3 linked regions of the Macaca mulatta genome follow. The protein of the gene in region 1 purifies or fractionates together with the protein of each later gene. This does not show direct contact. Links are inferred from orthologs where the notes say so. Each region holds a gene or a part of one and is shown in the gene's direction. Other genes may lie near its edges.

Evidence for each region.
Region 2: the proteins of NFKB1 (region 1) and RPS3 purify together in Homo sapiens (affinity purification with western blotting; 3 studies listed by BioGRID and IntAct, with this or other methods). This does not show direct contact. The link is inferred for Macaca mulatta from reciprocal best matches to the Homo sapiens genes NFKB1 and RPS3.
Region 3: the proteins of NFKB1 (region 1) and NFKBIB purify together in Homo sapiens (affinity purification with mass spectrometry; 7 studies listed by BioGRID and IntAct, counting the BioPlex papers as one, with this or other methods). This does not show direct contact. The link is inferred for Macaca mulatta from reciprocal best matches to the Homo sapiens genes NFKB1 and NFKBIB.

What each region holds. Positions count from the first base shown.
Region 1 is NC_133410.1:111,956,299-111,959,798, forward strand, and holds part of NFKB1 (nuclear factor NF-kappa-B p105 subunit), read left to right. Parts: intron 1-13; coding exon 14-103; intron 104-1,272; coding exon 1,273-1,467; intron 1,468-2,637; coding exon 2,638-2,779; intron 2,780-3,500.
Region 2 is NC_133419.1:75,815,550-75,819,719, forward strand, and holds the start of RPS3 (small ribosomal subunit protein uS3), read left to right. Parts: upstream 1-1,370; 5' UTR 1,371-1,400; coding exon 1,401-1,430; intron 1,431-2,293; exon of another isoform or gene 2,294-2,441; intron 2,442-2,593; coding exon 2,594-2,724; intron 2,725-3,539; coding exon 3,540-3,633; intron 3,634-4,170. UniProt on the Homo sapiens protein: Component of the small ribosomal subunit. The ribosome is a large ribonucleoprotein complex responsible for the synthesis of proteins in the cell. Has endonuclease activity and plays a role in repair of damaged DNA.
Region 3 is NC_133424.1:49,994,381-49,998,490, forward strand, and holds the start of NFKBIB (NF-kappa-B inhibitor beta), read left to right. Parts: upstream 1-1,310; 5' UTR 1,311-1,359; coding exon 1,360-1,538; intron 1,539-4,110. Other genes in the region: SIRT2 (NAD-dependent protein deacetylase sirtuin-2), read right to left, coding at 833-848. UniProt on the Homo sapiens protein: Inhibits NF-kappa-B by complexing with and trapping it in the cytoplasm.

The sequences.
Region 1 (3,500 bases):
CTTGCCATTTCAGGGTATAGCTTCCCACACTATGGATTTCCTACTTATGGTGGGATTACCTTCCATCCTGGAACTACTAAATCTAATGCTGGGATGAAGCATGGTAAGTAATGCTTTATTCTTAATACCAAGAAAGGAAAAAAATAATCCTAAAAAAAATAGATTTAAAAAAAAATTTTTAAATCCATCACAACAGTATTATTGTCTTGAAAAATAATTGATTAATGCAAATAAACTGAGAAGATACTTTTTCCAAAAGATATTATTTCCTGTGGCTAGTATAAACTCTGTTCCTTGTTTATATTTTATATATTTCCTTCGTAAGTGGCATGAACAGAGGAAAGAAAAGAGCATTGAAAAGAGATATACAGAGACCTGACTATTCAAACGTTTTAAACATCACCAAACTTATGTCTTCTGTCTCTCGTTTTCTCAAATAGTACACTTCTGAAATCATTTTGAGTTTTATAGGGTTTGTCTTTTCCCATCAAGTCATCACCTGAGAAGCTGCAGTTAAACCACGTGTTGATAGTTTACATTACAGGTCCATTCTAGTGTACCCATGGAAGAAATAATACTATAAAGAAGTCTTCCCATTTATTGAATACCTATTTTTGTGCCAAGTGCTTTTACATGTTTTAACTGTTATCTTCATGACTGCACTATATGGAAAATAGTATCTCCATTTTGCACACAAAAGACACCAAAGTTCAGAAATGTTTATACTCACTGAAGGCACACAGAAGTTAGTGGCAGAACAAGAATTTGAAGCAGGTCTCCACTATAAAAGCTAGATGCTCTCATAGTGTCTGTCAGATAACATAGTTGAACCTGAAAGAGGATGATCAGGAATGCTACACTGGATAGCTCCCATACTAAAGAATGTGAATTGACAACACGTCTTTATGACTTGCTTTGTTCATTAGCGTTAGGAAAAAACTGCTCTGCTTTCAAGAACTTTAAAAATTCAACTTTTCTGCAATTGACAGAAGAGCTTTATTTCATTTTTCTCCTTTACAAGTAAATAAGCAAAATGAGATCTAAGATTTTAGAAGTATACTAAAAATGGTTTTTAGAATTGAGTTTAGAGTATCTCCAAAACATGGTATTTATGATATGACCATTTTTAAAAGAATTTTAAATTATTATTTTTCTTTTCCTTTTGCAGCAAACTTGCCTCTTACCTTTATCTGACCTGCATTGGAATAGTGAATTATCACTAAATTAATACATTTTACTGAGAAAAATCTGATGTTTTTACATTTTTCTTAGGAACCATGGACACTGAATCTAAAAAGGACTCTGAAGGTTGTGACAGAAGTGATGACAGAAACACTGTAAACCTCTTTGGGAAAGTCATTGAAACCACAGAGCACAATCAGGAGCCCAGCGAGGCCACTGATGGGAATGGTGAGGTCACTCTAACGTATGCAACAAGAGCAAAAGAAGAGAGTGCTAGGGTTCAGGGTAAGTGAGCACACAAATTACGTTCTATTGGTTGGCTGGGGAGGGGTCAGTCCTAGGTGTAGAAAAGTATCTGCTAATCTGAAGATGACATATCAATATCTAGTTTAGCGTACTCTTCAAAGTTCTGTATGTCTTTGGAAGAGCATATGTCAGATCATTTTATTCACACTGGGATTTCCATTTTTGCTCTGTTATCTTTGAATGTAAAGTACAGAAATTTACATGTACATTCTCCAGTCACAATCATGCAGTTTTAGGGTATTGTGAGAGATAATCAACTTCTTTTCTGGCACAGATAGAGAAGTATTTCTACAAGCTTAATAGTCACCCTCTCTAGATTCTGGCTTAACCATCATACTGAAATAGAACTTTGCCTTAAAATAGGAACTTTTCTTTTTATCTTGTTGCCCTCTTTGAACAAGTAGGATTAGGAGAAAATGTACTTTTGCGTTTACTCTGAACCAATACTTATTAGCATATGTGTCATGATTCTAGGTCATCCTAGATCGTACTAAGAAGACATCTGTAAAAGCAATTAGAGTTGGTGGCCACATGTGGTATCTATCACATATGCCTTTTTTTTACACCCCTTTAAAAATGTATAAGCCATGATTAGCTAGGGAGCTATATGAAAAGCCGAGCATAAACAGGTTTTGGCCCAAAGGTCACAACTGCCATTCCCTGACCTTAATGGAACAAACTTTACAAAAACATGAGTGTTTCATGGAAAGTCTCTGTTTATGGCAGAGACGTGTGTTTTTTCACACATTGCCTAACAAGCTAATTGGTAGAGATCCCAATGAAGGATTATTTCACCAAGATATTGGTGATTTAAAATCATGGTAAAATCTAACATTGTTTGGAGATTGTTTTCCTTAAAATAACAGATAATGGTTGTTCCCTTAAAATAACACATTTCTAAACTTTTTCCTCTAACAAACCATACATAGATTCTTTAAGATCAATCTCTAACTATATTTGTCAGTGACCCAATGTCCAATTCTGCTTTTTCTAGTCAACACAATCCAAAAGCATTGAAAGAGCATTTTCAACTAAAATGATGTGTCAAGGTGTCAGAACACTGATGCTGGTCAGTTTGGCCTTGAGCATGCCATACCCATAAAACAAAAGTAGGAACACTCAACTATGATTGTGGTCATTGCCTTACAGATAACCTCTTTCTAGAGAAGGCTATGCAGCTTGCAAAGAGGCATGCCAATGCCCTTTTCGACTACGCAGTGACAGGAGACGTGAAGATGCTGCTGGCCGTCCAGCGCCATCTCACTGCCGTGCAGGATGAGAATGGGGACAGGTAAGTCAGGATTTTTTGCATGATAGGTTGTTCTGGGTAGGGAAAAAGAAGAGCATCATATAATGCATGCTGACTAGAGATAAAAATAATTGTTCAAATGTATTGAGTCCTCTAACTGGCACGATCAAGAAAACTAGTGTGAATAAGGTAAAGTAGCACAATTTGCTGCTCCATCCTGCTGCTGTCATCTGTTGGAATCTGTAGTAGCTGGAGGATTCATCTAAGAGTGAATCTCTCTGGGCAAGCAAACTAAGATGTGTATAGGTAATGGTACTTTTTGAAAAGCCTCGCTTTGTTTATTGAAATAATATTTGGAGAATTGTTAAGAATCCTACCAAATCCCTGAAACCTTGTTATCCCAGCTGCATATTTATAATGACAGTGTACTCAAGAAAAAGCTCAATAAAGGCAGCAACAACAACAGAAAGATTAAGAGGGACTGGTCATTCTTTCCCAGTTACTGGTTTCTTCTCTACTACCTCTTCTGGTGGTCACCAGTCTGTGACTGGTTCAGACTTTTGTGACTGCTCCAGCCCATGCGTGGGAGTCGAACATTCCAAACACCATGCCTTCCATTCCTGCTATTACTGAGATTGTATTTGCAAAGCCACCTGGCTTCTTTCTAAAACAGTTCTCTTAGTCCTTTCATTGAGACTTCTAAAGTATCTCGAAAGCCTATAAAAATAACAAGAAACAGCAGCCTTCACATTCAAGTCAAGTG
Region 2 (4,170 bases), on another chromosome or scaffold:
AATACAAAAATTAGCCGGGTTTGGTGGTGTGCACCTGTAATCCCAGCTACTCAGGAGGCCAAGGCAGAAGAATCGCTTGAACCTGGGAGGTGGAGGTTGCAGGGAGCTGAGATCGTACTACTGCGCTCCAGCTTGGGCAACGGGAGAGAAAAGAAAGAAAGGAGAGAAAGAGAGAGAAAGGAGGGAAGGAGGGAAGGAAGGAGGGAAGGAAGGAAGGAAGAGAGGGAGGGTGGGCGGGCACACGAGCCACTCTCTGGGACTTCTGTTACAAATTGTAATGGACTTGATGAAAGTAAGGTGGAGTAAATGAAAACAACATAAAGGGCACAGAACACAGTCCCTAGGACACTTAGTAAATATCAGGTTTTATTATCATTTGGAATGGAGGAAATGGGCACAGACTGGGGACATTCTTTTTTTTTTTTTTTTTTTTTTTTTTTTTGAGACAGAGCCTCACTCTGTCGCCCAGGCTAGAGTGCAGTGGTGGGATCTCCGCCCACTGCAACCTCCACCTCCCGGGTCCAAGCAATCCTCCCACCTCAGCCTCCTGAGTAGCTGGGATTACAGGTGCCTGCCACCACGCCCAGCTACTTTTTCTATTTTTAGTAGAGACGGGGTTTCACCATGTTCGCCAGGCTAGTCTTTAACTCCTGACCTCAAGTAATCCGCCCGCCTTGGCCTCCCAAAGAGGAGTCTTAAATGAATTTCACTGAGGGATTTCAGCAGATTTTCATTACAATATCCACCCTGAAAGTGTAGGGGCCAGAGTTCCACGCTGGTTAAACTCTGTTGCTGTGTGAACTTATACCTGTAATTTCCACCTCTGCACCTCGCATTGCTTGTTTTTAAACTATGAGAATTGAACTCGCGGCCGGGCGCGGTGGCTCAAGCCTGTAATCCCAGCACTTTGGGAGGCCGAGACAAGCGGATCACGAGGTCGAGAAATCGAGACCATCCTGGCTAACACGGTGAAACCCTGTCTCTATTAAAAAATACAAAAAACTAGCCGGGAGAGGTGGCGGGCGCCTGTAGTCCCAGCTACTCCGAAGGCTGAGGCAGGAGAATGGCGTAAACCCGGGAGGCGGAGCTTGCAGTGAGCTGAGATCCGGCCACTGCACTCCAGCCTGGGCGACAGAGCAAGACTCCGTCTCAAAAAAAAAAAAAAAAGAGAATTGAACTCTAAGATCCTCTGAAGTCTAGCAGTCCTGCTGGTCGAACCCCCTTTACTGTTCCTGCCTACACTCTTCCTTCCCTTGACGCCTTCTTTACGTAAAAACTACATTTCCCATGAGCACCCATAGGCGTCCACGTAGCGCAGCCCTCCGCCGTCGCTCGCGCCCTTTATACTCACTTCCGCCCGCCCGCCACTTCTTTTTCTTTCGGCGGAGCGCGGCGGCAAGATGGCCGTGCAAATTTCCAAGAAGAGGAAGGTGAGCCTCTGGGGACTGGGTTCGGGGAACGACTGCGCCGCGAGGGTCAGGGGCTTCTCGGGTGCCACCGCGAGGCCTGCAGCTCCGTGCCCTGCCCTGGGAAGCGGCTTAGGCTTCCTGGCATTCCCACGGGCCGCGGATGGCGGTGGATTGAGTGAGAGGCCCGAGCCAGGCGGGCGCTGTGTGGCCGGGTAAGGGAGAGACAGGTTTTTCTCTGGTTCCGAGTGAAGCGCAGAGAGATGGGGACCAGGCGCCCCTTCTGTCCCGGAGAAGGCGTTTGTGAGCATTTTTTGGTCAATGGAATTAGTAAACGTGGTATTTTGAGGGCGTGTGTCATTTCCCTCATGTCTTATCCCATGGTTTTGGGAAGGGGAGGCAGCAGTGTATACTTGTCTTCTTACTGGTCGAGTCTGGGTACAGTCTGCTGGTCCCACGACCTCAACATGAAGGGTTACTGACGATTGCTTGCTCCGTCTGAGGACCCCGGGAGGAAGCTGCCTCGGATTTAACGCTTTGTTATTCCATGGGAAAGAACTGTGTAAAAATCATTAGCTTTAAAAATAGACAGTTTGTCATTTCGTATACCTACACTTCGATGTTAAAATTAAATCCACAACTCTTGTGAGTTAGGATTTTCCAGCTCTGTTTACAGTTAAAACCACAGGTACCGTAAGGCCAGATAACATGGCTGGGATTCTTTAGACGGTCCAGGTTGTGTCTGCAAGTGAGAGAGCTTATGTTAAGTCCACTATCTATTCTGTTCCTTCACAGTGACAAGTACAGTGTCTTTGCTGTGCTGAGTGAGGTGTAAATAGGCTATTTTAGAGCAGTTTCTTGTTTTGCATGTGGAACTGTTTTAAACCCTTCGATGAAGAGATGATGACGAGTCTGACTTGGGGGTGTTGCCTTCGCCCAGGTTGCCTACTCTGTGCTGCATTCTGTGGCACAGTTTAAAGGGCCCTGGTTGAAGTAACTTCCTAAAGATGACCTAGAGGCATTTGTCTGAGAAGGGTTGCTGCACTCCTGTTGGAACAAGGGTTTGGAACCATTGGTTGGAGGTATTTAGTTTTGGGGAGGGATGCATTGACTAATAAGACACTGGCTCAGGCGAAAGTGAGCCTACACCGATGTCCTAATTTTGAACTTCGCTTTTTTTGGATTAGTTTGTCGCTGATGGCATCTTCAAAGCTGAACTGAATGAGTTTCTTACTCGGGAGCTGGCTGAAGATGGCTACTCTGGAGTTGAGGTGCGAGTTACACCAACCAGGACAGAAATCATTATCTTAGCCACCAGGTAAAACTCACTTGACTGGCCATCACCTATAATTGTTGTAAATGCTAAGTTGGTTTATTCCTTTTTTTGTGTGTGTGAGACAGAGTCTTGCTCTGTCCCGAAGGCTGGAGTGCAGTGGTGAGATCTCTGCTCACTGCAAGCTCCGCCTCCCAGCTTCCTGCCATTCTCCTGCCTCAGCCTCCTGAGTAGCTGGGACTACAGGGGCCAACCACCATGCCCGGCTAATTTTTTGTATTTTTAGTAGATTCGGGGTTTCACTGTGTTAGCCAGGATGGTCTCAATCTCCTGACCTCGGGATCCGCCCACCTCAGCCTCCCAAAGTGCTGGGATTACAGGCATGAGCCACCGCGCCTGGCTGGTTTGTCCTTTGTGAACTTAAGGGGATAGACAGCCAGTGAGTCTGGGCTTAGTGAATGTAATTGCTTCTTAAAAGCTGGATTTTAAGGCCAGGCATAGGATCGCTTGAGCTCAGGAGTTCAAGACCAGCCTGGGCAACATGCGGAAACCCCCTCTCTAAAAAAGATAAGGTTGTGGTGGTGCACACCTGTGGTCCCAGCTATTCCAGAGGCTGAAGCAGGCGATGGCTTGAGCCCAAGAGGTCCAGGCTGCAGTGAGCCATTGGTGTGATCCAGCCTGGGTGACAGAGAGAGACCCTGTCTCAAAAAAAGCTGCATTTTGAAAATTTAACTTTAGTTTTTGTCAATGAAAATTATATGCTTTGTGGCAGAGATTTTGCTACCACATATATATTGCAAGATTTAAAGTTAAATCTAGCATTTGTGAGAGTCATGAATTGTCACTTTTTCCCCGCCCAGAACACAGAATGTTCTTGGTGAGAAGGGCCGGCGGATTCGGGAACTGACTGCTGTAGTTCAGAAGAGGTTTGGCTTTCCAGAGGGCAGTGTAGAGGTGAGTGATTCTGGCGTATGCCAGAGATAATGGCTCTTCAGAATGATAACTTCTAAAAACTGGGAGACTTTGTTCATTACAAATGGACTGATACAACTTTGTTGAAATTCTCTTAATGAATAATGGGCTTAACTTTGTAAGCCTGTTCTGCTAATGGTTGATAGTTAAAGGATTTTACATTCAACTTGGGTATAGAAATGATGCATATGATGGATTGACTGTCCCCATTGGTGTAGTTGGTATGGCCAAAGGAGCCAGGGTGGGAGGGCAAGGAACCTGCACTGTGTGTAGGTGGTAGAAGTGCTTTAGGAATTGAGGGATACTGAAATTATATGCTGTTTGTGATGGTGTTGTGCAGTCTTTTGGCCTCCGTAGGCCACGTTGGAAGAATTATCTTGGGCCACACTACTGGTAGTGCAAAAAATCACGATGTTCAATTTTTGTTGGGCCACAATCAAAGCCATCTCCTGGGCAGCATGCGACCTCTGGGTTGGGCAAGCTTGGTCTAGAAAGTGATGCTTGTGTGACATGCCAAAT
Region 3 (4,110 bases), on another chromosome or scaffold:
GAAAGTAGGGGCTTTTGCCCAGGCTGATCTTGAACTCCTGGGCTCAAGCGATCCAACCACCTTGGCCTCTCAAAGTACTGGGGTTACAAGCATGAGCCATTGTGTCTGGCCCTGACTTACTTTCTTTCTTTTTTACTTTTTAGAGAAAGGGTCTCGCTCATGTCACCCAGGCTGGAGTGCAATGGTGCGATCATAGCTCACTGCAGCCTCAAACTCCTGGGCTCAAGCGATCCTCCTCCTCCTACCTAAGGGATTCAGGGCATGAAGGAACACTCAGGAGGAGTTAGGAAGGACACGACAGTGTGTCAGTGTGTGTGCGGGAAGGGTTAGATTTACAAGGCAGAGGGAAGTTTAGAAAGGAAGAGAGAAGGGAAGGGACGCTTTGGCTGGGAGGCAGGTTTAGGAGGGAGGTGCAGTGGTGCAGTGGAGGCGGTAGGTTTAGGAGAGGCGCGGAACAAGGGGAAGCCATAGAAGGGGACAGCAGGGGTCCCTCAGCATCCTCTGGTTGCCTCTAACAATCAGGTACCCTTAGCAGCCGGGACCGGGGCAACTTATGTTCTTTGCAGCGAGGGTCCTTAGCAACCAAGGTGTGAGAAACACGCGATCATTGGCAACTTGGCAAGTGGATGTGGTAAACGAACCCTGAACACCCTGCGACCCAGAAACCCACCAGCCTGGCGATATAGATCGCTTAGCAACAACCCTCAGAACCCCACTCCCCGAGGCGCTCCCTACTTCCCGCCCCACTGCGGCCGCCCTTGGGCCCCGGGGCCTGCAGCCTTCAATCAGGCCCCGGCGCGGCCCGACCCTCCCACCCGGATTCCCGACTCACGGTCCGGCTCTGCCATGGGCGCGGTGCTGAAGCCCTCGAGGCTGTCACCGACCGCTCTGTCCCGTCACCGACCACTGTGTCCCGTCACCGACGGCTCTGTCCTGTCACCGACTGCTCTGTCCCGTGACGGCACCAGAAATGGGAGTGGCCGGGATAGGGCACTGAACTACAACTCCCAGCAGACATTGCGGCCGCAGACGCGCTTTCCTACGACACCCGGAGCGCCCCAGTTAGGTAAGAAAGCGCGCGAGGACCGGACTACGAGTCCCAGAAGTCATGGCGTCAGCAGCCATGTTGGTAAAGGGCGCCCGGAAAATGTGGGAACGGCTAGAGAGTCGTAGTCCTCTCGAATACTCTGATTGGTCAGCATGCGGCACGGGGGCGGGGTGTGAGCGATTCAGCATATTATCATTGGATGAATCAGGGGGCGTGGTGGGGAATTTCCCGCAGGGCGGAAGCGCCAGAACTCCCGGCAAAGCCCAGCTACAGGCGGGCCACTGCGAGGGGCCCCTGAGGTGGCGGGGGCCATGGCTGGGGTCGCGTGCTTGGGAAAAGCTGCCGACGCAGATGAATGGTGCGACAGCGGCCTCGGCTCCCTGGGTCCGGACGCAGCGGCCCCCGGAGGACCGGGATTGGGCGCGGAGCTGGGCCCGGGGCTGTCGTGGGCTCCCCTCGTCTTCGGCTACGTCACTGAGGATGGGGACACGTGAGTGAACTTTAGGCTGCCAAACGGAGCCTTAGGACCCGGCATCTGATTCCCCATTAGTGTCTGATCCCTGAGGCTTCCTAACCTCACACTCCTAAATCTGACTTCCGATGCTGAACTTCCTGACCTCTAACCCCCGAGTCCTAACTTTTAACAAAACCAATCTTCTTTCCAGCTATGATCCTCACCCAATCATTTCTGACCTTTTCCTGAACTATGATTCTCAGCTCCTGGAATCCACGTTGTATCCACTGATACCCAAACCTGACTCCAGTCCTGAGACTTTTGTTAGAACTGTGGCTTCTCCTGACTTCTAACCTCCAAATATGATCTTTGATTCTTAGTTCCTGATTTGAGCCTTAAAGTTTGATTTCCAAAATTAATGCTTGGTCCCTTACTCTAAGATCCTGTCATCTGAGCAGTGTTCTTCAAATCTTAAATTCAAAGAGAGAGAATGTAAGCTCTTCTATGTTGAATTCCTAATTAAAGTAAAAAAAAAAAAAAAAGGAAAATAGAAAAAAAGAATGTAAGCTCCACGAGACCAAGGATCCATCTGTTAAACAAATATTCTTTACACAGTACAACATTCCAGGCTCCGTTTTAGGTGCTAGTGATAAAGGCAGTGGAGAAAACAGACAAAAACTTAAGCGCTTGTGGAGCATACATTTTAGTGGAACTAAATAAACAGATAAGACCGCAAGGAAGGAAAGAAACAGAAAGACAGGAAGAAACAAAGAAAGACACGCAGAAAGAAAGAAACATAGAAAGTAAGAGAAGGAAATAAAGTCAGAGGTAGTAAGTACTTTGGAGAAAAATAAAGCAGGAAAATGAGGCAATAGATAAACAGGATAAGAGCATTTCAGGGAGAAGGAACTGCAGTTGCAAAGCCCAGATGAGGGACTGTACTGGGTTTTTTGTCTGTTGTGTTTTCTGCTGTATGCCCAGTGATGCAAGCAGTGCCTGACCCAGGAGGCACTGAAGAAATATTTATCTTTTCAAAGAACCAGCTTTATAATCTTGTTAATTTTCATTACATTTCATTACTTAATTTTGGTTTCTTTTTTTTTTTTTTTTTTTTTTACTTTTTATATAATTAGTCTCTGTCCTGGCTTTTTTTTTGAGACAGAGTCTCGCTCTGTCGCCCAGGCTGGAGTGCAGTGGCCGGATCTCAGCTCACTGCAAGCTCCGCCTGCCGGGTTTAAGCCATTCTCCTGCCTCAGCCTCCCGAGTAGCTGGGACTACAGGTGCCCGCCACCTCGCCTGGCTAGTTTTTTTTTTTTTTAGTAGAGACAGGGTTTCACTGTGTTAGCCAGGATGGTTTCGATCTCCTGACCTCGTGATCCGCCATCTCGGCCTCCCAAAGTGCTGGGATTACAGGCTTGAGCCACCGCGCCCGGCCGGTTTTTTTGTTTTGTTTTGTTTTGTTTTTTGAAATGGAGTTTCACTCTGTCGCCCAGGCTGGAGTGCAGTGGCACCATGTTGACTCACTGCAACCTCCATCTCCTGGGTTCAAGCAATTCTCCTGCCTCAACCTCCCCAGTAGCTGGGATTACAGGTGCCCACCACCATGCCTGGCTAATTTTTGTGTTTTTAGTAGAGATGGGGTTTCACCATGTTGGCCAGGCTGGTCTCAAACTCCTGACCCCGTGATCTGCCTGCCTCAGCCTCCCAAAGTGCTGGGATTGCAGGCATGAGCCACCATGCCAGGCTGTTCTGACTTTTATTATGTTCATTCTTCTGCTTACTTTGGCTTTAATTTGTTCTTCTTTTTGTAGTTTCTTAAGGTGAAAGTTGAGATCATTGATTTGAGACCTTTCTTTTTTCCTCTTTTCCAGTATAGGTATTGAGTGCTATAAATTTGCTCCTGACTATTGTTTAGCAATATTGTTTTAGCAATATCTCTCAAATTCTGGTATGTTGTGTTTTTATTTTCATTTAATTCAGTATGCTTTATTATTTTTTTGAGTTGGAGTCCACTCTGTTCCCCAGGCTGGAGTGCAGTGGCACAGTTTCCGTTCACTGCAACCTTGTCCTCCTGGGTTCAAGTGATTCTCTTGCCTCAGCCTCCCGAGTAGTTGGGATTACAGGGGGGTGCCACCACCCCCGGATAAGTTTTGTAATTTTTTTGGTAGAGACAGGGTTTCACCATGTTGGCCAGGCTGGTCTCAAACTCCTTACCTCAAATGATCTGCCCACCTTGGCCTCCCAAAGTGCTGGGATTACAGGCATGAGCCACCACACCCGGCCTAATTCAGTATTTTTTTTCTTTTTCTTTTTTTTTTGAGACTGGAGTCTTGCTCTGTCACCAAAGCTGTAGTACAGTGGAATGATCTCAGCTTGCTGCAACCTCTGCCTCCCAGGTTCAAGCAATTCTCATGTTTCAGCCTTCCGCGTAGCAGGGATTACAGGCATGCACCACCACATCCGGCTAATTTTTGTGCTTTTAGCAGAGATGGGATTTCACCATGTTGGCCAGGCTGGTCTGGAACTCCTGACTTAAAGTGATCCACCCACCTCGGCCTCCCAACGTGGTGGGATTACAGGTGTGAGCCACCACACCCGGCCTAAAAAT